3 linked regions of the Arabidopsis thaliana genome follow. The protein of the gene in region 3 interacts with the protein of the main gene of each other region in a pairwise test. Each region holds a gene or a part of one and is shown on either strand. Other genes may lie near its edges. The genes, in order: AHG1, UBC1 and HUB1.

Evidence for each region.
Region 1: the proteins of HUB1 (region 3) and AHG1 interact in binary tests that used the Arabidopsis thaliana proteins (3 or more experiments, as listed by UniProt).
Region 2: the proteins of HUB1 (region 3) and UBC1 interact in a two-hybrid assay, tested with the Arabidopsis thaliana proteins (one study listed by BioGRID).

Annotation. Positions count from the first base shown.
Region 1 is NC_003076.8:21,022,299-21,030,601, forward strand, and holds AHG1 (Protein phosphatase 2C family protein), read left to right. Parts: upstream 1-4,576; 5' UTR 4,577-4,617; coding exon 4,618-5,082; intron 5,083-5,148; coding exon 5,149-5,493; intron 5,494-5,559; coding exon 5,560-5,665; intron 5,666-6,279; coding exon 6,280-6,614; 3' UTR 6,615-6,890; downstream 6,891-8,303. Other genes in the region: SBT1.3 (subtilase 1.3), read left to right, coding at 1-310. UniProt on the Arabidopsis thaliana protein: Negative regulator of abscisic acid (ABA) responses during seed germination.
Region 2 is NC_003070.9:4,925,540-4,933,842, reverse strand, and holds UBC1 (ubiquitin carrier protein 1), read left to right. Parts: upstream 1-5,030; 5' UTR 5,031-5,393; intron 5,394-5,694; 5' UTR 5,695-5,706; coding exon 5,707-5,831; intron 5,832-5,927; coding exon 5,928-5,953; intron 5,954-6,049; coding exon 6,050-6,139; intron 6,140-6,236; coding exon 6,237-6,325; intron 6,326-6,420; coding exon 6,421-6,549; 3' UTR 6,550-7,048; downstream 7,049-8,303. Other genes in the region: AT59 (Pectate lyase family protein), read left to right, coding at 438-646, 732-1,419, 1,517-1,999; WHY1 (ssDNA-binding transcriptional regulator), read left to right, coding at 3,033-3,252, 3,452-3,552, 3,645-3,737, 3,871-3,965, 4,045-4,118, 4,192-4,280, 4,372-4,491; AT1G14390 (Leucine-rich repeat protein kinase family protein), read right to left, coding at 7,049-7,426, 7,523-7,716, 7,797-8,043, 8,123-8,244. UniProt on the Arabidopsis thaliana protein: Accepts the ubiquitin from the E1 complex and catalyzes its covalent attachment to other proteins.
Region 3 is NC_003071.7:18,544,455-18,552,757, reverse strand, and holds the start of HUB1 (histone mono-ubiquitination 1), read left to right. Parts: upstream 1-4,105; 5' UTR 4,106-4,510; coding exon 4,511-4,627; intron 4,628-4,807; coding exon 4,808-4,969; intron 4,970-5,052; coding exon 5,053-5,131; intron 5,132-5,250; coding exon 5,251-5,478; intron 5,479-5,576; coding exon 5,577-5,738; intron 5,739-6,468; coding exon 6,469-6,662; intron 6,663-6,737; coding exon 6,738-6,821; intron 6,822-6,946; coding exon 6,947-7,066; intron 7,067-7,162; coding exon 7,163-7,349; intron 7,350-7,439; coding exon 7,440-7,600; intron 7,601-7,682; coding exon 7,683-7,754; intron 7,755-7,967; coding exon 7,968-8,044; intron 8,045-8,303. Other genes in the region: ASG3 (SNF2 domain-containing protein / helicase domain-containing protein), read left to right, coding at 1-73, 200-314, 391-415; AT2G44970 (alpha/beta-Hydrolases superfamily protein), read left to right, coding at 739-774, 1,252-1,314, 1,550-1,676, 1,851-2,097, 2,263-2,391, 2,503-2,552, 2,638-2,735, 2,816-3,103 and 1 more. UniProt on the Arabidopsis thaliana protein: E3 ubiquitin-protein ligase that monoubiquitinates H2B to form H2BK143ub1. H2BK143ub1 gives a specific tag for epigenetic transcriptional activation and is also prerequisite for H3K4me and maybe H3K79me.

The sequences.
Region 1 (8,303 bases), on a different chromosome or scaffold from region 3:
CTACCCGGCGATATCAGCTTTGTTCCCAGAGAACACACATGTTAAAGCTATGACACTTAGAAGAACAGTGACCAATGTTGGTCCTCACATTTCAAGCTACAAGGTTTCTGTCTCGCCATTCAAAGGCGCATCCGTAACTGTCCAGCCCAAAACACTCAACTTCACTTCGAAGCACCAGAAGCTTTCCTACACGGTTACTTTCAGGACAAGGTTCCGGATGAAGAGGCCTGAGTTTGGTGGTCTAGTGTGGAAGAGCACTACACATAAAGTTCGTAGCCCGGTTATCATCACATGGTTGCCTCCTCTGTAGAACAACAACCAATGTTTGAGCAATCCTAATGTTTTTAGTTCCACAAATAAAAATTCCTTATGTAATGGGAGCTATTCTCTAGATCAATGCTTTGGCATTTATAAAACAACCATATGTTCTTCTTTTGTCACAATGATAACGCTTAACAGAAGACAATTGAATTTGTCAAAACCAATGATAATTCTTCTGTTGCTTTAAAACAAACTTGGGCTTATTTTTATTAGTAAGCCCAATTAAGTCAACTAAACCTTACACTATGTATACGACGTGATGATCTCTAGGGTTTCAACAAAACAGAGGCGATGAAGAGAAGACGAGAAGTTACCACACCATCGCCAACACGACGAGTTCGTCACGGTGGAGATATCGATATCCCTCTCGATATAACGTAGTATGCGTCTTCTTTGGTTTTTGTACAACGTATGTTAGTGTCGAGATGGGTAAGGGTTATTTATTCCTACATTCTCGGAACAGAGAATTCCCTTATTGTGCAAATTAAACAAAAAGGTCTCGAGACTTATAATTATAGTCATAAGTTGATAGATGTATGCATATATGTTTTCAAATTTTAGTAACAAATAAAATGATTTCTTAAACATATGTTATTTGCTACTATCTTTCTAATTAAAATCGTTTCCTATAAAACATTTTTTTTGTCAACTTCGTTTCCTATATATGTGAGATTTCAAATTAGTTCCCTTACGTATACATATTTTAACTAAATTCCCACCAACTATTTTAAGTAGCATGGAAATATTGTCACGAAATTATACTACTTAATTAATATCTAGATTTTTGTACTAACTTAGCCTTTACAAAAAAAAAAAAAAAAAAAAATCTTAGCGTACGAGTAAAACAACCTATAGTTTATTGTATGCCGTACATGTTCCATTTCAAGTTGTCCTTTCAAGATATGGACTCTCAGGAATAAGAAAGTCGGTTACATTTCAATACCATGAATCAAAACTGTGTACTTACCAGTAGTTTAAGAGAACATGCCAAAACATTTTATTTTATTTAAATTGCAGAGTAGATATATAATACTTACAAATTAAAATACCGGCCAGACCAGTTTTAAAAATTTTGTAAAATCAAAAGTTTAAATTTGATATCTAATACGGTTTGAAACGATAAGTTTTAGAGCTAGATCGATATACTTTGACATGAAATTGGTTTACCAAAGTTTCAGGTTGTTTTGAGAAACGACAAATATCTCAATTTATATACTTGTCCTAGAAACAAAATTCCATAGAACAAATATTACAAAAAAAAATAGTAAGTCGATCGTGAAGATGAGAATAAAGCAAAGGGAGCTTCGAGTAGCTTCTATTTTGGAAAATCCAAAACAGAAACAAGGAGATGTGTGATGCAAAAGCGGCAAGTTATTGGAATAAGGCTTGTGATCTCTTGCCCCTTGGTTTCCATTTAGGTCTTGGACGGTGGGTTTGCAGCTTAGAAAGCTCCCATACGACCACGTGGATTACATGTTTTTAAGATAAGTTTCTCATTTCCCCACCACAATTTACTTATTTTCTTTATGAAATTGTTGATACTATCCGAAATGAGTGAACATAAAAATCACGATTTATCAAGAAAAATAGAAATTTATTTAGCTTCTGTAAATATAGACTAATACAAAACTATAATTGTTGGCAATGTTCCGTGCTCAGAGTTATATTAAGAAGAATAAATTTATGTTTTTAAACATTGTAAACATTGGCAATTTACAGTTTAGTTATTAGTTAATTAGTTTGTAAACATTGTTTTCGGAGAACAAAATGTTGGTAAACTTTAAAACATTTGTTTATGTTTAAATTTGGATGGGTTAGTTGGTATAAGTACTACCGTATTATAGCAATCGTCTTTTGGGAACCAATTATCTTGTGCTAACAAAAACATATAATCAATCCTTTTCTAATCACTGTGCCAAAATTTAATTAGTAAACATTTGGAATGATTTATGTTCAATTGAAACATTCGCGTTATAAATTTATTTATGATCTTTCTATATTATTTTTAAATCTAATTCTAAAAATAATATTTTTAAATGTTTTGTAAACTGTTAATTATTTAACTAAATATTACAACGAGTCAACTAAAATGACATAAAACTACATAACTCTACATTTGGAGATTCGTTTCTCGGCTACAAATGGCAAAATATTAGGTGACATCAGTTGAGTTCTCCGTACTTACCCGGTCAACAAAAATCTTCTATTAGTCTGGAAATTTTTTTTTTTTTTATATTAAAACAACTCTTCTTTCAATAATTTGATTCTATCTCATCAAAGTTGATGCTTTTCTTTTTGTTCGACTCAATTTTTCCTCACTTTCCTTTTTCATCAAAAATACCAATTTTCTTATTTTTCTTCGAAACATATATAGCCTAAAATCATTGACAATGTCATGAATATTTCCCTTGACTCCATGCCATGAAATGAAACCTATTTTCTTTGTTGTTCTCCGATTCTTTATAGTTTTCAGTCATATTTGGTGATCAAATTAACTGACTTTAGTGCCATAGAGTCTTCAGAAAAATTTATTGGTGTTTCCATGCATGCTTCTACACATTAGTTTCTTTTTGCAGGAGATTTGGACCCCACACAAAGTATTTTCACTACAAACACTATTCTTTCTCATTATTTTCCAACTTTTTCTGAATTGATCATAGGATTTTTGGTAAGCAACTTCCCTTCATATAGTAATTCTAACCACACGCAAAATTATTAAACCAAATTTCCGCAAGAAGATCATAAAAAACTGAATAAACAATTTAAACAAACATTGATGTACGAAGATAACATTTCTATCATATATGGTTTATATATAATAACCTACTAAAACAGCCAGGGATTGAAATTAAGCTCACTAGTTTTTATTTTCTTCACATAAAAAAAAAAACAAAATCACTATATCGGCAAGTTAAGTTTTCAATCATTAAAACCTAAAACTAACCACCCAACCCACCAATGATTAAAACTATATCCCAGTCCCAACTAATCACAAATTTAAGGTAAAGTGTGTTTGAATCATTTTTTAAGAATTTTAGACAAGCTTTTTCATTATTATCTTCCTTTTAGATAACTTACACATTTATATTAGCTTAATATTTTGTTTGTTTTAGTTTTTAGCTAAACCATATCATTCATGTAGAGAGAACCACCCTAACTGTTATGATCTATTCGACTCGTATTAATTCTCATCAATATAGCAAAATATTAGGATTGATCGATCCACATATTTCAGTTCACCCACTTTAATATATTTCAAAGACAGTTTGTAAACATTTATTACGGTTTTCGTAGATCTTGAGTATTTGAATAAATAATGATATGATTCTTTGTATCTTGTACAGTTGCTTATTTGAGTAGACATTAATTACAAATCAAATCTGTTAGCATAAAATATACATATATCGCCGTTTTTCTTCATTTGTAGGAAACCAAATAAAGAATAAAAGGCATATGGCACTGATGGACTAAACTGGCATAACTATGCTACGTGTTTAATTGGTACAAGTCGCTCAACCTGAGGAATCGAGAAGTTGTAGATGATCACTATGTGACATGTGTTGCACCGAAAAAGAGTGACTAGTGACGATTGACGATTCGTCAACCTTTTTCTCCGAAGATATCTCCAACGTTATGGTTAATCCCATGATTTGGTTTAAGTATACTTACCGTTCAGGTTTTATAGAAAATACTACTCGAGATTTGGAACGATCAGTAAATGTTATTCCAGATTTAATATAGTAGAAATTGTTTGTTTTCACTTTTCAAAAAGATGGTTTTCAAAATTTAATTCTTTTTAAAAATAAGAAAATTGATATAAACCTTTTCAATATTGTTACATTTATAGTCATTGTTTTGACATTAATGTTTTCATATTGAAAGCAAAAGGAAACAAGATGCAATATTTCGTATATCATGAGTTTTTCATTTTCTATAATATTTGATGAATTAGTCCAGAACCAGCCTGATCCTTGTAGTTCACATGGTTTGAGAGATCAGCTCCGGCTCATGGGTTCAAATTCAAGCAAGGAGAAGAAGAAAGGAGTTAAGACACAAGAGCCTAGCTAAACGACTATCGTCATGAACCCAAAACCGGATGCGGTTTAACAAAAACCGAAGGCGTCTCCACGTGGACAACAACTTAACACCTGAGCCTAACACGCGAATACATCGAAACACCGACACGTGTTCTGTCTTCCTCGTAAGCTTCTTTATGTTCAAAGTGTTCTCTCTTTCTCTCGGCCCCATGTATATAAAGCGGTGCTCTCTTGATCCACCGAAACGAATTTTGAAAAGATGACTGAAATCTACAGAACAATTTCAACCGGACGTGGAGACGACGTTTCTCCGACTAAATGCCGTGAACGTCGTCGTCGGAGAATTGAGATGCGGAGACAAGCGGCGGTTTTCGGCGAACCTAGTTCGTCTAGGAATCGTGATCGGACGGACATGGAAGTTTACTCAAGTTTTGACGTTCCATTGAGGAAACAAGCTCGGAGGTCAGAGATCGGTGGTCTTCCGGCGGATATCGGGGGCTTTTTGGCACCTCCGGCGGCATCTTCTTGCCAAAAATCGGAAGCGCCGGTGTGGAAGGGAGAAGAAACGGAGGATGAGCCGTTGTACGGTATAGTTTCGGTTATGGGAAGATCTCGTAAGATGGAGGATTCGGTTACTGTTAAACCGAATTTGTGCAAACCGGAAGTTAACCGGCAAAGACCGGTTCATTTCTTTGCGGTATACGATGGCCACGGCGGTTCTCAGGTAAGAAAATTAACCAGGGGTGGTTTGGTCATTTAATATAAAGATGCTGATGTGATGCGTGGACAGGTGTCAACATTGTGCAGCACGACTATGCACACGTTTGTCAAGGAGGAGCTAGAGCAAAACCTCGAAGAGGAGGAAGAAGGAAGCGAAAACGATGTCGTGGAGAGGAAATGGCGGGGCGTGATGAAACGGAGTTTCAAGAGGATGGATGAGATGGCAACGAGTACATGCGTGTGTGGGACTAGTGTGCCGTTGTGTAACTGTGATCCGAGGGAGGCTGCGATTTCGGGTTCAACGGCGGTCACTGCGGTTTTGACGCACGATCATATTATTGTAGCCAATACTGGTGACTCACGTGCGGTGTTGTGTCGAAATGGAATGGCTATTCCTCTGAGTAACGATCACAAGGTGGTGTTCTTGTAAAGGTTTGAGAATATTGGAGTTTCTATTTTGAAGTTGTTGAGTTTTTTGCAGCCGGATAGACCAGACGAGCGTGCGAGGATTGAAGCAGCTGGTGGTCGAGTTTTAGTAGTGGATGGAGCTAGAGTTGAAGGAATTCTAGCCACGTCCAGAGCCATAGGTATACCTTTCTCAATTCTCATATTGTAGTAAAAGATGATTTTAGTTGATAGTGTTGAAGATGGCAAGGAACTAGAGCCTATAAGGGCAATAATAATCATTTCGGATTTGGGGTTTAGGGTTTTAAGTTTACTAACTAAGGTACTATGGATTGGTTTCATTTGGTGCGAGTTCTTTTGTTGATTAATTCTAATTCTATTTTCAAAGATGTTTTATAATTGTTCCTTTAAAAAAAAAATATGTAAATTTTACTCTCTTTTTTTTGTCAAAATGTTAACTAGAAATTTTACATTGGTCCTAATAGTTTAACATTTGACAAAAAAAAAAAAAAACAAAAAAAATTATATTTGCAGCATTAACTAGAAAACAAAAATAATTGAATCATTTTACGAAAATAAAAAATGTGGGCATTCATACAAACCATCTCATGGATTAGAACGGGAGAAGTATTTTTCTTAACTTCAAAAGTATTTAAATGTGTCTTATCTTTGTATCTTTCATTGTTTGATCATTTAACCAACTTAAAATTTATTTCGGTTATACAATTTATTAGACTAAACATGAAGTTTTAGTATGGAAATTGTTCCTAATGTTGTGTTACAATTCATGGAGCAGGGGACAGGTATCTAAAACCAATGGTAGCATGGGAACCAGAAGTAACATTCATGAGAAGGGAATCTGGAGATGAATGCTTAGTATTAGCAAGCGATGGGCTTTGGGATGTACTCTCGAGTCAGCTAGCTTGTGACATAGCTAGGTTTTGTCTCCGCGAAGAAACTCCCTCGAGCCTTGATTTAAATAGAATGGCTCAAGAAGACGACAATGACGGAGAACAAAATCCTTCAAGGAGTGTATTGGCTGCAACGTTGCTAACGCGGTTGGCTTTGGGTAGACAAAGCAGTGATAATATAAGTGTGGTCGTCATTGATCTCAAGAATAGCTCTCAGTAAAACTAGTTTTGGATCCTTTTTTTGGTGGTTGTGCAATTAAGTGGTTAAACCAAAGAATAAGATGTTGATATAGCGATGAGCCTTAATTAGTTTTAGGGTTTAGCGCCCGTCTTTGTTTTGTTATGAATTGGGGTTACCAATACACATTAACACCGGCGAATGTGAAAGGAAAAGAGAGTTGTTTGGATATGGGCTACAAGGTTATTTAGTGGTTTGGCCATGGGCTATTAAGGGTATTTAGTGGTTTAAACAATAAAATAAAAGTTAACTTGAGAGAATTTGTTCTCTAATTTTGTTTGTTGTATGTGTGTGATCATTTTGAAGTTATTGATCGTTTAGCTATTTAGGTGGTATGTGTGAAATAAATAGATAAAATAAAAACGTAGTACTGCTTTGGTTTTGTTCGTTGTAGTTCATTAGACGCCGGTCTTGGTCTTTTATATTTTTTTGATGGACTGATCATTTCCAATGGTTAAAGTCATCTCTGTCTACAAATACTTACATTTTGGTACAACCTGAATGAAGTGAATTTAAGGCTGAGATTTTGAACCAGCCCTAACCCTACTCAACCGTGCAGTTTTATATTTGGTTCAACAATGCTATATAGGCTTTTGGGCCAATTACCAGATTGTCTTTACTCTTTAGGCTTTAAAGGAAAAAAAAAAGAGATGTGCAAAAGAATCAAAGAGAACAATTCAAGAAAGAGAGACAAAAAGACAACTCTTATAGTTCGATGGAAATGGAACAATTCGAACAGGTTTGACGAATACAGAGTTTTGGTCCTAAATAAAAGGGAGATCAAGAATCAAGAATTGTCTTTGAAGTAAAACAAAAAGCGTGAGATGGAGAATGTTCTCATGAATAATTCTTACATTACTTTTTGTTCTTTTCTTTTTGGGTCATTATCGTCTCAGTGTTTGTGTCGCACTTTTCTTTGAATCATAATTGTGTTTGTGGGCCTTTTAGCTTCTCTCTACGTCTTGTTTAGTTTCAAGTTTGGACCACAAAAGAGAGTGAGAATCAAGAATCTTTTTTTTTTTCTCCACTTTTTTCTTTTGTGTATATATTCTTTGTATTTTGTTTAAACTACCAAACCAGAAAATCTACTACATTTCCCTCCCTTTCTTAACCTTCTTCTAATAAATTTTTACTAAATCAGAAAAGTTTCTTTTGCCACAAATTTTAAATGAATTTGAAGACTTGGGAATTTATCTTTACCCTCTATTTTTGTTTATTATTATTAATGGACTCGGATGCTGGATATTAGTAAGTGCCTTTGCTTAAATGTCAATCTAAATTAACAACTAAAGTTATAAATTGTCAAAAGAAAATCTAACCAATCTCTTTTGTGGTCTAATTCCCTACCTAACGTGATATAGTTAAACCAACACATTCAGGCTAGATATTCTAACTTTCTAAGGGTGTAATCTAATACCAAAATCTAATTCTTCCCATGTAGTTCTTCTCTCATCTCCCACACACTTTGATACTTTACCTCTTGATTTGTGATTTTAGATAGATACTCTCACATTTTCCTTTTAAATTTGTTAGATGTTTTGAACAAAGTGTATGCAATCCAAATAATCCCCAAAACCATATGTTTGTGTTCACTCACTAGTCACTACATTCTTTAACCGAACCAAAATTTTCGCAGGTTTGTCAGTCCTATAATGCATTTCTTTTTTTAAA
Region 2 (8,303 bases), on a different chromosome or scaffold from region 3:
ACTACGTTTAATAATCATATGTAGTATGTATGATTAATTAAGTAAATACAAAAATAGTTACCTCAAGTTTTAAAGGTGCTATTGGGTAATTATCTCAGTAAAAATAATATTAGATCAAGGCAAAAATAACTGAAAATATCCAGAAAAGAAGGATTAAACAAAGGCATCCAAAATCTATAATTGGGTTTTTTGGAGAAATGACCATAGAGATTTAAATCAATGGTTGTCTAATCTATGTTAATTCTCAATCCTCTATTGACTCTTCTCATCTCCTTTTCTCTCTCCCCAGTTCCTGGTTATTAAAGCAATCAGGTGATTCAAATCTTTAATCTTTTAATCCCGGCAGGCCTATCTGAAACAACAACCTCCGTTTGAGGTTTTGCCGGGAAAATATAAAGTTCACAGGCTTTGGTCTCTGCATTTGCAATATATTTAAAATGGCAGCAGCTTTCTTGAATCTTGGCGGCTATGTTTTCGTTTTCTTCTCTTCGTTCTTAGCTATAGTGGCCCCACAGGTTCGAGGCAATGTTGCTGTCTTTGATAGCTACTGGACGCAACGACAAAGTGATGCATTGAAACAAACCATCGGCTCTTACGATCCTCATCCACTTAACGTCACCAACCATTTTAATTACCATGTCAATATGTGAGTTTTTGTCTTTGTTAGGTCAAATGTTTAACCTAACTTCCTAAACAAGTACTAATTAAACACTTTTTATTTTTTTTAACAGAGCAGTGGATGCATCGGAATCAAGGAACGATACAAGGAGAGAGCTTACTCAGGTGAGAAGTGGTCGTAAAACGCACAAAAGCAGCGGAAAATGCCTAGCTTATAACCCGATAGACAACTGCTGGCGATGCGATCGTAACTGGGCTAATAACCGGAAGAAACTAGCCGACTGTGTGCTCGGATTCGGCCGGAGAACCACCGGAGGAAAAGACGGACCGATATACGTCGTCAAAGACGCGTCTGACAACGATCTTATCAACCCTAAACCAGGAACGTTAAGGCATGCAGTGACTCGAGACGGACCGCTTTGGATCATATTCGCAAGAAGCATGATCATAAAACTGCAACAAGAACTGATGATAACGAGCGACAAAACAATCGATGGAAGAGGAGCTAGGGTTTACATCATGGAAGGTGCTGGATTAACGTTGCAATTTGTGAATAATGTGATCATTCACAATATTTATGTCAAGCACATTGTTCCTGGGAACGGTGGGTTGATCAGAGACTCTGAGGCTCACATAGGGCTTAGGACAAAAAGTGATGGTGATGGAATCAGTTTGTTTGGAGCAACCAATATTTGGATCGACCATGTCTCAATGACAAGATGTGCAGATGGTATGATCGATGCTATTGACGGCTCCACTGCTGTAACTATTTCCAACAGTCATTTCACCGACCACCAAGAGGTAAAAAGATTCCTTTGTTTTCGCTCATGTGAAGTTGCATATGAAACAATCAAGACCTCTAATTTAGAGTCTTGTTTTAAATTTTGTGAGAGAACAGGTGATGTTGTTTGGGGCGAGGGACGAACACGTGATCGACAAGAAAATGCAGATAACGGTTGCGTTTAACCACTTCGGTAAGCGATTGGAACAGAGAATGCCTCGTTGCAGATACGGAACGATACATGTGGTGAACAATGACTACACACATTGGGAAATGTATGCAATTGGTGGGAACATGAACCCTACAATTATTAGTCAAGGCAATCGTTTCATTGCTCCTCCTAATGAAGAAGCCAAACAGATTACAAAAAGAGAGTACACACCATACGGTGAATGGAAATCTTGGAATTGGCAATCAGAAGGAGATTACTTTCTCAACGGAGCTTATTTTGTGCAATCCGGAAAAGCAAATGCGTGGAGCTCTAAACCGAAAACCCCGCTCCCAAACAAGTTTACAATTCGACCTAAACCGGGAACGATGGTCCGGAAACTTACCATGGATGCAGGAGTACTTGGCTGCAAACTTGGTGAAGCTTGCTGATTACATAACCATTTTGCCCCCTTCCAACAAACAGCCAAAGCTTTTGCCCTGTTTTTGCTTGTTGTTCAAGAAAAACAATATGGAGAGAGAGGAGAGAAAACGAAAGAGAATGTTTTTCTATGAATGGTGTTTTGTAACTAAGACTGCATATATAATGCGCAGTTTTCGGATTATTATTCTTAATAGGATCCAGGTTCCTTTTTCTACGGAAAAATGAGAAAATCAAAATACCTTAGATCTTTATACTAATTATACAATCTCCTCGTAATACTTTCATCAATTAGCTCTCTTATCTTGTCTCGAATGTTATTAGCTATATGGACCAAAACAATATCTTGAAGAGTTGCAAAATTTGACCAACAAACTGTTGATGGAAGAAGCAAATATTACAATATGCATTGACAATAATCAAATTACTGAATAGAGACCAAACTTGGGAAATAACAGAGAACAAATCCAGTAGATATGGATTTATTCCAGAAAGCATAATCATATGAATTGGTTTCGAAGTCAAGTGTCAACAGTGTTCTTGTTGAGACAGCATAGCCAAGTCCAATTGTATATAGATCTATGGAACATATTTTGTCTCATGTCTTATCACTTGGTCGGGCCAATCGTTGGTCCTAAAATCGAAAACTTCGCATGTAGTAGCGTTTTCTAGACCTATTAATGCAGAGGTACATAGACAAACGACCTTGTATGTGCCTGCAGATGTATATAGACAAGTTTCAGTTCAATAAAAGTTTCTCTTTCGTTCTTTTGTCTTCTCTAAGGAGAAGAGATATTATCTCTTACTCTGTTTCTTCTTTCTCTCAATATTCCAACAAAATTTATAAAATTTGGGTCTATTTGTAATTTTTGAAGAAATAAAGCTGTAGAAACGAATTAACGAAAAGTTATCACTTTCTTTGTCTCGTCATCTCTCTCGAGTCTCGAGTCTCTGAGTGTGTAAAGGAAGCGCCTTTTTCTCTCCTCCATCGTAATTCGCAGAGAAGACACACTACATTGACTGAGAGGGAACAAACACAAAGCGATGTCGCAACTCTTATCGACTCCTCTAATGGCGGTCAACTCCAATCCTCGCTTTCTCTCTTCGTCTTCAGTACTCGTCACCGGAGGTTTTGCAGTGAAACGGCATGGATTCGCCTTGAAACCGACGACGAAGACGGTGAAGCTCTTCTCGGTTAAGTCTCGCCAGACGGATTACTTCGAGAAGCAGAGGTTCGGTGACTCTTCTTCTTCTCCTTCACCTGGTAAGCCATCTCACTTGGTTACTTTAGGGTTTTAGCTTGCTTAATTAAGAAATTGGAAGCTTAAAAACACAAAAGGGTACTCTTAATTACGAGAAATTTGTAACCTTGAAGCTTGAAATCCAAAAAGAGAACTCTTTTTATATCTATAGATGGAGCTCGTAGGTGATGTTTACTTGTGTTCTTTGTTTCGATTTGATAGCTGAAGGATTGCCTGCTAGATTTTACGTGGGTCATTCGATATACAAAGGGAAAGCTGCGTTAACAGTGGACCCAAGAGCACCAGAGTTTGTGGCTTTAGACGTAAGTCTCTATCCCAAAATTAAAGATCAAAGAGCTCTAACTGAATAATCATGCTTTGAGTTTTCCATTTGATTTCTGTTGTTTTTCTGCAGTCTGGAGCTTTCAAGTTGTCAAAAGATGGTTTCTTATTGCTCCAGTTTGCTCCTTCTGCTGGTGTACGACAATATGATTGGAGCAAGAAACAGGTTTGGTTTTATCTCTTTAACTTCAGATGATCCTTGAGCTGTAACTTTGTTAAGACCATTTGACTGGATTTGGTGTTAAAAGGCAGTCTTTTTTCTATTATGAATTTGGTAAAGCTTCATGTCAAAATTGCAGGTGTTCTCATTGTCTGTTACAGAAATTGGAACTCTAGTTAGCCTAGGCCCGAGGGAATCTTGTGAATTCTTCCATGATCCATTCAAGGGGAAAAGGTAAAAAGCATCATTACACTGATAATATTGGTTGTATTCTTATTATATTGCTCCTGATCGGTTTGTTTGTTGTATGTAGTGATGAGGGAAAAGTAAGGAAAGTGTTGAAAGTTGAGCCTCTCCCAGATGGTTCTGGTCATTTCTTCAACCTAAGTAAGTAAATTTAATCTTCTTCTTGATTCTTGTCAAAAAGGATAGTCTCTAACGATCTCCGTGTATATATTAGGTGTTCAAAACAAGCTTGTGAATGTGGATGAGAGCATTTACATACCAATTACTCGAGCAGAGTTTGCTGTTCTTATCTCTGCATTCAATGTAAGATCAGAAAATATCTCATCTTTAACATTACCGGCATGAACTTTCAAAGAAACATTACTAAACTCCTTTTTTTCTTCTATATTGCAAGTTTGTCTTGCCTTACCTTATAGGCTGGCATGCATTTGCAAACTCCATCAAACCAGAAGAGACAAGCCGTGTGAACAACGCTTCGCCTAACTATGGAGGAGACTATGAATGGAATAGATGATGAATCTTAGGGCCATAACAGGAACATATATCAGAGATCATCCTACCCTTTTTGTTTTGCTGATAGGTTTCGTCAGGATTGATATATGTTCGTAGGTAGCAGAAGAGACTAAAAGTAGTTTATTTTTTCGTCCTTTTGACCAAATGTTCAAAAGCCACATATCATTTCGTGGTAAGCGGTTGTATCTCAAAACATCAGTCTGATCTTAGTTGTTTTTGATTTAAGAGCAAATCTCAATTTGAAGTCTGAGTACGAGCTAGTATGATCCAAATGCCTAGGCTTTGAGACGAGGCTTGAAGATGAATTGGTTTGTCTAGAGAGATTGGAGAAACAAGACATACCACAAAAACATTTCTCTCTAGTAACAAAAACATCACTCTACTCTACTCTTGTGGTTTGGGTCTGGATTTTAGTCCGGTTAGTGGTACAATGGTTTATATTGGTTTATTAGAAATATATAGTTTACGCTACATTAAGAAAAGTACTCTAATTTGTCATCTGAAGATTTACATAAAAAAGATTACATGTCATCGTTGTATGTTAACTAACACTAATCTCCCGGTTAAAGTGTAGATTGCCCTAAACGGTTTAATTCCGGTTAGGAACAAACCAACCACTCGCTCGGTCGTCCAAAGGGCAAAGCGAATCCAACTTTACAGATATGTCAGAGAGGAGCCAAGCTTCTAGAAGATCATTCATTCATCACTTATACGATCTCTTCCCAAATTATTGATTTTTTTTACCCATTTCTCTCATCGCACGGTGATATTGAGAATCGCCGACCTGAATCGATCGGAAAACTTTCTCTGATTACCGGCGGTCAACACCGCTGAACACATATGTTTGTTTGACGACCTCTTCTCTCCGCGATCTTTACCTCAACAACGAGATCTGTTTCCACGGTACCATTTTCATCCGATCTCTGTTCTTCTATGTTTGTTTACTGGATCCGTTGATTTTACTTTCATCTTATCATTTGTGTGTGGCTATTTTGGTGAATTGATGCGATCTTAAGCTGTTTCTAGGTTCAAGCCTTATATGTTTCTTCTAAGCTAATCATAGGTCGTAGACTTGTTAGGAAGATTCGAATCTAGTACAAAGTTAGCAACTTTAGCATACGTAAATCGTTAGTAGTAATTTCTAGATTGATAGAGGTTCGAGACCTTAAAAGGTGATGAATATTTGGTGGGTTTTGTTTATTAGAAAGAAAGGAGGATGTCGACGCCAGCAAGGAAGAGGTTAATGAGGGATTTCAAGAGGTTGCAGCAAGACCCACCTGCGGGTATTAGTGGTGCTCCACAGGACAACAACATTATGCTCTGGAATGCTGTCATATTTGGGTAATGGGAACAAGTACCTTTAGATACTGGCTAAATATTTCTGAAACTTTTGTCATTTCTGTACTTACTTAGACCTTTTTGTTTCTAAATTTGTAGGCCTGATGACACACCATGGGATGGAGGTATGGTTATGATATGTTATTGCATTTTGACAAGAAGCATAAATTTTTGGGATCGTTGTAGTGGTGTTCTTATGTCTCTTTCTTGATGCTGTTCAGGTACTTTCAAACTCTCACTGCAGTTCTCTGAAGATTATCCCAATAAACCACCAACAGTTCGGTTTGTGTCACGGATGTTTCATCCTAATAGTAAGTTATAGAGATACAACATTGGATTTTCTATCCACCTGGTTGATGTTCAGCTTTTGCCTCCAATTAACGTTCTTCTGCTCTATTCGTTGTGTAGTTTATGCAGATGGGAGTATCTGCTTGGACATTCTACAAAACCAGTGGAGTCCAATCTATGATGTTGCTGCTATACTTACCTCCATCCAGGTGAATTCAAAATGCCATATGAACATCTCTTGATGCCCTTAAAAGCTTGAATTGCTTTCTTCTTCTCTAATCCGTTTTTCCCTTTGTTATTGCAGTCCTTGCTCTGTGACCCTAATCCGAATTCTCCTGCAAACTCGGAAGCTGCTCGGATGTACAGCGAAAGCAAGCGCGAGTACAACAGGAGAGTGCGTGATGTTGTTGAGCAAAGCTGGACTGCTGACTAGTAGTAGTTTGTTGTAAGCGTTGTAGCTCTCTCTACTTTCTCTCAATCACGATTCAGCAACAGCTTTCTTCTCTTTTCATTCATGTCTTGTGTTTCCAAAACTATTTAAGTGATTCCATGCTTTGATGTAACCCAACATCCTTAAAAAAACAACTTTGTACCAAACCATCTGAATTATTCACTTTTGTGTATATATGTATTACGATTTACTTGCTAGCTACAAAAAACAACTTTGTACCCAAATTCCACAAAGTTGCGATATTTTATTTAAGGGTTTGTGGCCTTATCCTTCTGTTACACCCTTTCATTGCCTTAACAATTGCATTGCTTTCTTTGTGACGCTAATCCAATTTCTACACCAAAATCTGAAGCTTCACATGAGACTCGTAAGTACCTTAAGTATTAGTAGGTTCAACTTTATGTATTCTCATATAGGCCTTGAATTTGACATTGATCAGTTTCTCTATGTTCTTCAAGGATGGTGATTTTATATTTCTCTTCTATAGTTCTGAACCACCAAGCCCGAGGTTCTCACTGCTTGTCCATCCTTGTTGCACTTGAATTGTGTACTGCAGATTCCATACAACATCCTCTATCGATGGCCGCTTCCTCTGATCTTCACAAAGACAGTTAATGGCAAACTCTACTGTGGTTCTCAATGACTCGTATGCATATGTTCCTCTCACACACGGATCTGCCAAGCTACGCAACACCGATGGTTCGTCTCTCAAACTGTTCTCCAGCTGAAGCTTCAAGCTCCCCAACTCTGAAGATGCAGCTGCTATTACTTTGCCTGTGATGATCTGAATTAGTATCACTCCAAACTGGTACACATCTTCTTTCTCTCCATCTTCATTACTAGGGCTCTCCGCTCCAACCTGAAATTCCCCCAGAAGGTTATATATTTCATGAGAGGTTAAACTGAAGATTAGAAGCTATATCCTGATTATATTATATCTGGTTTGTTTATATACCTTGGATGGTAAAGGAATACTATAACCACTGAGTTTTACAGTGAGTGTTTCATCAAGTAAAACATTCTCTATTTCCAAATTGTTCCCAAATATTCCTGGTGCCACTCCTGTGTGCAAGAACTGTATTCCTCGAGCAACTCCAATCGCTATCGACATTCTCTGAGGCCATTTCAACACCTCTTTCTTTCTCCAATCTGCCAAAAACATTTCCAAATAATTAGTTTCCCAACAAAAATATAAGTTCTTGAAATCGATAATCTTTTTCAAGTATTACCGGTGAGGTAATCCCTCAAAGACCCGTTAGAGATATATTCTTGGACAATGAAAATAGTGCTTCCGGCATAAGGATGATGATCTTGATAAGTACCAATGCAGTGTCCAAGAACACTGACCAAATGCATATGCCTTAGCTTTGATAAAACTTCCATTTGTTGAGCTAAATTCTGTGTTGAATTCTTCTGTTTCAGCTTAATACACCTCACTGTCACTGCTATGCCTTCTCTAAGACAACCTTTGTACAGCTGTTTTGAAATTAGATATATCGATTAGTTAGACACTCGGATCAATTTTAAATCATGTCTTATTTACATTTTCCTTTACCTGTTCTCCACAGAGATTCTCTGCATCAAAATTGTTGGTTGCTTCTTCCAGTTCCTCCAAAGAGAAAACTCGGTATGGTGATAGTCCAATCACCGCGGATCTCATGGTTTGCGGTACACGTCCTGCATTTGAAAAAATCAAGCTAGTTAGGTTAATGGGTGTGAAAACTTGATTCAAGATT
Region 3 (8,303 bases):
CGTAGTAGCATTTCAATTCCAGACCTTGAAAGTTGCTTAGCCAAAGCTTCATTCTCTGCTTCTCAGAAATCAGGTACGAACTTAATTACTTTCTTTCTTTAAAGTTTCATCATATTTGGAATTATAAACAAAAGTGCTCCCAAAGAGCTTAACACTTGTGTTGTCATTTCTGGTATGGTAATGTTCTCTCCTCAAAAAGCCTCACTCCACATGCCACGTATTGGTTACCAAGACGGATCAGACCGATCTCAATGGTACACTGTTGAGCGTCTTCTTCGAAAATACTCCTCCATCTTCACCGTCAAAATATTCGTGTAAGTTTATATGTGTCGCCCGTCTTCTTTCTTTTGAATAATCCAAAGCAAACTCATTTTTGTTGCTTTCTTGTAGGTACTATTATCGTCGATCTCCCTGAATCACACAATGGGATAGTCTTTTTGACGCTGTAATATAATTTGCTTTTGGTTGTACATGTAACGGTGTCGTTTGTATGTAGAAGGAAGACTTGTAATTGGGCCCAGTAGTGGCCCATATTAATGTATAATTAAATAATAGCCTAATCTTATAATTCAATCTTGATCACTGAGCCAATTTACACGTGTTGCGTCTCTAGTGCCTCTGGTTCCACGTTGGTCGTCAAAATTGAAATCGCGTTTCTATTTTCTTCACGAGGTTTCTTTTCCCCGCGGCTTAGGACAATATGATCCGAATCGTTGAAGAAACTGTCTCCTTGTGTCTATGTTTCGTTTTGATCCCACATTCCTAAAGCTCCAGGTACCTTTTCTACGTTTCCCGAATTCTGATTAGTTGATTCTTCTTCCTCAATCCGTTCTTCCCAAACTTGTTGCCGATTTTTGGATCCGGTCATCAACTTTGTTGTTTATTTGTCATCAATGCAAAAATTGAGAGCGTCTGTGTTTTCACTTGCATGTTATCAATTCCTAATGTTGTTTGCCGTTTCATTAACCGGATTCGAGACTCTTCCCGCTGGATTTCTTTTTTTCACGTCTTCTTTTCTATTTTTTATGGATTTGGTATTTTGACATGTTAAGCAACCTTCGTTAATCAGTTTAAAATCGGTGCTTTCCGAAATTTTTAGAAGAAACATGGAAGCTTAAAATTTTGAAATTGCTATTTGGAAAAGCTATCATTTCATAGGCTTAGTCTTTGTAATTCTTCTTTACTTGTTGTTCATTGGCATGAATATATGAAGGATTTTATATTTGATTGTGTGTTTGTTTATGTTGTTAGAAATTGATCAAAATGGGAGAAGCTGGTCAATCCAGAGACGGAGAATCTGTCACGCCTCTTGTTGTAAGTATTGTGGCTTCCTTTTCTCACTTTTTAGATAATACTTTCAGAAACTATACTTGCTTTATGCTCTCATCTTAATGGAATTCTGTTTGGAGTCAACTTAACGTTCTCTTGGTTTCTATATCAACGGAAACATATAAGTTGATTAAAATGGGGTTAAAGAGGATATTCGTAATTTTTGGTTCTTTATGCATTGAGACTACCATTCTAATATCAGTAATTTTTCCATGGCCAGGGCGGTGGTAATGGGGACAATGCGGTTGCACCACAAGTGTTTAATTCTTTACCAGCTCTTAATGAAGCTGCTTCTTATATAACTCAAGCAACGTCTTACTTAGGGAGCTGTTTTTCTGACTATTCAGGTACCCTTTCTTTCTATCTGTTGATGTCGTACTCAGTATGCAATTCCACGTTCATATGCTAGGCTTTACTTATGGAAAATATGCTTAGCAGATATTTATGGTGTTAGGATCTTATCGTCACCGTAACATAATTCAGGCTTTGCTTAGCATCTGTTCTTTCAATGCTTTCTTCAGTAGAATATGGTGGCAAGGATACTATTTCCCACCCCCATGAGTTGTTACGATCAACTTCCGGAGTTGACGGGAATTCCCCAGTGAGTGTATGCATTTCGCCTGGTGAAAGGTTTTCAACTTCTTCAGAGGCATCTACATCTGATGCCAACAGCCCGTCGAGGGAATCTACAGAGATTCTGCCACAGGCAACAAATGCAATAGTGACTTCGAATCGGTTAAATTTAAATGGAATTTCAATGTTCCAAGGGTACGTGTACTTTGTATTACAGATACAAATTCCCCATACTAGTAGATATGTAAAATCTTAATACTATGAATATGTGAAACTGAAGCAATACAATAATCTCTATACACTACTACTTCTTGTCAAGTTTTCAGCATTTGGGTGATTGATCTATTTTAATTCAATCAGGCTCATTGAGCGGGCACGGAGGACTGTTCGTGGCTCGGCAGATGACATAGGATGGTTACAGCGTGCCCCGGAGATGCCTCCTGTTGAAGATGGAACTGATAGGTTCAATAAAATTCTGGAAGACATCGGGTATGAATTGGTTGTAGTTGCATGTTTTGTGTGCTTTGTGGCCTTTTCAATATGCTGTTTAACATCCTGTTTTTTACTAAATGGCTGCGTTGATCTGGTTTTTATATCCAGGCATGGTGTACACAGGCTTCCAAATACAGTGGTGTACTTATTGGTTCCAGGTAGCAATTCTTATTCTTTGCTGCCAGCCACTTAAACTACATTACTGTATATTAGGACTCTCAAAATTAGTTGAATTTTTTTTAGGTCTTTTCAGCAATCATGGACCTCTATATTTTGTGGATACGAAAACGAAATTCTCAAAGATGGGTTTGGCGTGTCATATTGCGAAGATTCACAGCGAGGTAATCATAACTAACTCAACTTAGTACAGTTACATTTGGTGTATAGCATACTAATATATGGAGAAATGTTTATATATCAGTCCTCGGTTGAGAAAAATGCGAGAGAGATAAAGGAATACATAGAGGAACTCTGTTGGGGATCTAATAAGCGGGTTCTACTTCTTGGGCATAGCAAAGGAGGCATAGATGCAGCTGCTGCTTTATCACTATACTGGCCTGAACTAAAGGATAAGGTCGCTGGGTTGGTACTGGCGCAGAGTCCATATGGTGGAAGCCCAATAGCTACAGATATCCTCCGTGAAGGACAACTAGGTGATTACGTCAATTTGAGAAAGATGATGGAGATTCTAATCTCCAAAGTCATAAAGGTTTGCAACATTCCTGATCTAACAAAGTCATTTCAGTTGCATTATATCAGCTTCTTGTGATTGCCTGTTAAAATCCTTAGTTAGGTGGAACCGAGAAACTAGGGATAAACCAAAACTTATTTTGTTTCTGGATTCTATTGCTCTGCTGATCTTTCTGATGAATTCCTTGGAACATTGTGAAGGGTGACATTCAAGCATTGGAAGATTTAACATACGAGAGAAGAAAAGAATTCTTGAAGAATCATCCGCTTCCCCGAGAACTCCCCACGGTTTCATTCCGCACAGAAGCTAGCATTAGCCCAGCGGTTCTATCCACTTTATCACACGTAGCACACGCTGAACTTCCTCTGACAAACCAAGCCGCAAAACTGCCAGTGGTAATGCCACTTGGTGCTGCAATGGCTGCTTGCGCTCAGCTACTTCAAGTCAGATACGGTGAAAAGAGTGACGGGCTAGTGACTTGCTGTGACGCAGAGGTTCCTGGTTCTGTGGTTGTTAGACCCAAACGTAAACTAGACCATGCCTGGATGGTGTACTCTTCCTTGAACGAGGTTCCTTTAGAAGCTGATGCTGCTCAAGTTTGTGAAGCGCTCTTAACTTTGCTTGTCCAAGTTGAGCAAGAGAGGCAACAAAAACTCGCAACAAAAATCGATTGATAAACCAAATTGTTTTATTTCTACTTTCGTCTTGAGACTTCAAATTACTGTATTTGTTTCTATCTTTTTGTTTTATTTCTTACTAATTTACTATCAGGTTTGAATCACACGATAACAAAAAAATTATTACAAACGGTAGATTTTATATTTATAAGACTACTTAATTTGCTTCTTTTTTTTTCTTTTATTGTTGATTAATTTTTATTAGAAGATTAGTTATGTTTTTCTCTCTATTCCTTTAACGAACCGTGATCGTGCGGCTCGGATCGTTGGAGATTCTATGGACGGCCGATGCTTATATACTGTAAGTGGAATATGTAATTCCCGAAAGTGCCCTCCAGATGTTCACAAAATTACGCCATCGTACTCGAATTAACTTCAACTCTCTCTTCTCTCTCTCTTTCTTTTCACTCTTGTTTTTGTTTCTGTGAGTGCTGTGTGTGTTCTCGGTTTGTAATATCTAAGTCGCACAAAGATCAGACAAAGTCTGTTTGCGTTTGATAGCATTAGAGTCTGATCGAATTTGGAAGACCTGTGAGATTAGGGTTTCTTTTTGTTTGTTTTTTTTTATTCCGAAGGAGAGCTGCGGAGCAATTGGAATTACCTCGGTTAAAGCAATCACGTAGCTTTGGATCGTTTAGGGTTTTCTCATTGGGTTTGGGGGATTTGTATTCGAGCTTCCTCAAACTCAATCTGATGGTGATGTGAGACAAGGCTTAATCCTGTTAATTGGCGATTCTAGGGTTTTTCAATGGCGAGCACAGGCGAGCCTGACCGTAAAAGGCGTCACTTTAGCTCCATATCACCTTCTGAAGCTGCAGCCGCCGTAAAGAAACAGCCTTTCTTTTGGCCCTCCTCCGAGGACAAGGTTTCTTTCTTCTTCATCTCCCCCTTGTGCATGCCCTTTACATCTATTCTCTTACTTATCCAATCAATCATAGCTTTCCAGCTATTAGAGATTCATATACTGAATGTCTTTTGTCTCGAATTTGGTCTATTTTGGAATTGGGATTCTCTCTCTTAAGGAGTTTGTTTTCGTTTGATACAGCTTGATACTGCAGTTCTTCAGTTCCAAAATCTTAAGCTATCACAAAAGCTAGAGGCTCAGCAGGTTGAGTGTTCTATTCTTGAGGATAAACTCTCTCAGATCAAGGAAAAACAATTACCATACAACTCCAGTTTGAAGACTGTCCATAAGTCTTGGGAAAAGGTAACACTGAATTTGCTTTCGATTCTAATAGAACTTGGATTAGATCTCTTTTTCTAGAGAACTAATTAATGCTTGTATAGCAGCTTACAGCTTCAGTGGAATCATGCTCTGTTCGTGTGAGTGATTCAAGCAGCGGAGCTCATAGGTTTGTAAACAAGGAGGGTATGAACAACTTAAGCCCGCCTTTTCTTCGTTCTGTTAGTGCTAGGATCTAGTTTAGATTTGGTTTTATATGTTACAAATATGACTTTTTGAAAGGTTAACTTTAAATTGCTACACAGATGGGTCTTCTCCAGCCGTGAAAAACGATTTCATCAACCGGCTACTTGAAACTGGTGCTACTGAGAGCTCCTCATCCAATATCTGCTCGAATCAGATGGAAGAAAATGGAGTGAATACGTCAAGCCAGATGACGCAAACCTTGTATAATCTAGTAGCCGCGACAGAGGATTTGAGGTGTCTGAAGGATGAATTATATCCCACAGTTCTCAGAACCAATCTTGGTAAAGGTATGACTTCCACTGCGATCAATTGTCAGCTCTTGTTATGGCCTTTATAACATTTTAGTATTAACCCAGGTCCTATGTGGAATTGCTTTCTTTTCTAGATTTGTGCGGTCAGCTAGCTCTGAGTGAGTTGGAATCAGAAATTAAAAGTTTCAGAGGGGATCTAGATGATGTACTTGTGAAGTTCAAATCACTTTCTAGAGAATTGCAGAGTCATCGCGATGCTGATGCTAAAGTTAGAGTAGACCTCAAACGAATAAGAGGTAGCTACTTAGTCTCGTCTCACTCGACTATATACTGTTAAAATGGATTTTTTAATTGGCATTGTTTATATGGATATAGTATTCATGCATCAAATGTAAATTTGTAATCATATACGTGGCTTGACAAAAAAAGGTCCTATATACATGAAAAGCTACTGAAATCATATCTCGCTTTTGATTGATGAGGATAAGTGTAAGTAGAGGTGATCAAATTGTGAATCTTCCAATTCCACGCCTGTGTATTTATGTCCAGCACTACTCAGTTGTTTAATAGCCATGATTGGATTTAGATCATAGAGATTAAGATTGAAGAGAGAGATACATTAAGACTGGAAGAAAACCTCTATGGTAGAGCCAGCTGTTAAGAAGACATGTAGCTGTGGAAGATATACTCATTAGCGAACTGATGGGTGTACAAAACCCTTCTGAGACATGAACTTCTTAGTTTTCTTTTATACCATTTACCCATATTTATATATTTCGGTAGATTTTAGGAGATAGAGAAGCTGGTAATTCTTTGAGAATGACATACATCCACATAAGTGAAGCATCTTAATTTTGTTGATAAATTACCCGTTTACCTTAAGATGTAAGATTTCAATACTGACAGTAGCCACAGTTAAGAAATTCAAAGAGTTAAAATTTATTTTAGTTTACATGCCTGCTTTTGGATTAATGCTTCTTGACTACCGCATCAACTGATATTATACTTTATTTGGTCTATTCGAAGGGGAGCTAGAGGATGAGGTTGTGGAGCTTCAGCAGTGTAATGGTGACTTGTCAGCATTGAGAGCAGAAAGGGATGCAACAGCTGGGGCGTTTTTCCCAGTGTTGAGTCTTGGAAATAAGCTTGCTACCAGTGATCGGGAGAGGGATAAACAAAGGGATCTGCAAGACATGGAAACAGTTCTGAAAGAGTTAACGGTATCTTTGTTTTTCTGATTTGTTTTCATTGGTAATTCTTTAAGTTTTGGGTTGATAACGGCCTGGTTTCGGTAGGTCCTGGCTTCAGGCAGGCTACAACAGCTAAAAAATCTTCATGAGGAGAGGACAAAGATGCTTGGAAAAATGAGTAATTTACAGGTCAGTGTATTGATCCAATTGGGGTATTTGTATTAGTTTGTCTCTGTATGGGGTTTGATATATGAAAATTTGTGGAATGGTAGCCTCTTCCTATTGCTAAAACTGATGTAAGAGTTTTCTAACAGAACAAGTCAAAGTCTGTGAGGTGCATCTCATCTTCTCAAGCCTGCCTTTCTTTGAAAGACCAGCTAGAAAAATCCAAAGAAGCAGTTTTCCAGTATATGGCTTTACTTGAGAAACTGCAGGTTATATCTGGTTTGCGATTTTCATTTTGTATCTATGTTTATAAAATTTACGTTGTATATTTAGTTGTGAAGCTTTCCTCCATTCGAAAATTTCAGGTTGAAAAAGATAGTATAGTCTGGAAGGAAAGGGAGATAAATATAAAAAATGAACTAGGTGATGTTTCTCGAAAGACGTCTGCTGTTACTGATTCTAGAATGGCTTCTTTGGATTCGGAGATACAGAAACAACTGGATGAAAAAATGCGAATCAAGACTAGGCTGGGAAATATATCAAGAGAGCGAGGTCACAAATTGATTACTTTGACTTCCAATTCTGTATCTCCCACCCACACCTGTTTCACTTTGGAGTCTGATTAAGTTATTCGTATGTCAGGTAGAAAAGAAATCTTTGCAGATATGAAGGCATTAATTTCTTCGTTCCCCGAGGAAATGAGTTCCATGCGTAGTCAATTAAACAATTATAAAGAGACTGCTGGAGGTATTCATTCTCTGCGGGCTGATGTCCAGTCCCTCTCTGGGGTTCTATGTAGGAAGGTGGGAAATAATGTGAACAGTGATTGATGCTTATTGTTACAGTTTATGTTATGCTTACTTAATAAGCTTAATTGGTGAACAGACAAAAGAGTATGAAGCATTGCAATTGAGATCAGCTGATTATGCTTCTCAGTTAGGTGACCTGAATGCTACGGTATGATGCAATGTATCTACCTTTTTCAGTGTACTGCCCATGACTTATATATGTTGACAGTGTTCATATTGGTTATTGTTACTTTGCATTATTTCTTGGAAAAAGTATAGTGAAAAGGCGGATTAGCAATTTAAATCTTGTTAAATGTCTTTGGTTGGCAAAGTGGTAGTTGTTATGTTCTTTACTTTCAATTGATTGGAGTCTGTCATGCAGGTTTGTGATTTGAAGAACAGTCATGAGGAGTTAAAGTTGTTTCTGGACATGTATAAACGTGAGTCCACTGATGCGAGGTAAGCACAACTATATATAACGATATCTAAGATTTCAATTCTTAGAGAAAAGTTTCCTTATCTTCCCCTTCTCACTGTCCAAATATATAGTATAACAACAAGTGCTGTTATTAATCTTGCCTTCTGACTGAACTATCGAATCTTGCTGAAAGTTTGTTGTTAATTTTTCTTGCGTTTCTGAAGAAACTTATGTTCACATTTTCAATTTATCCATGACAGCTTTTAATATCTGATCTATTTTTACAGTTCCATCTGATAA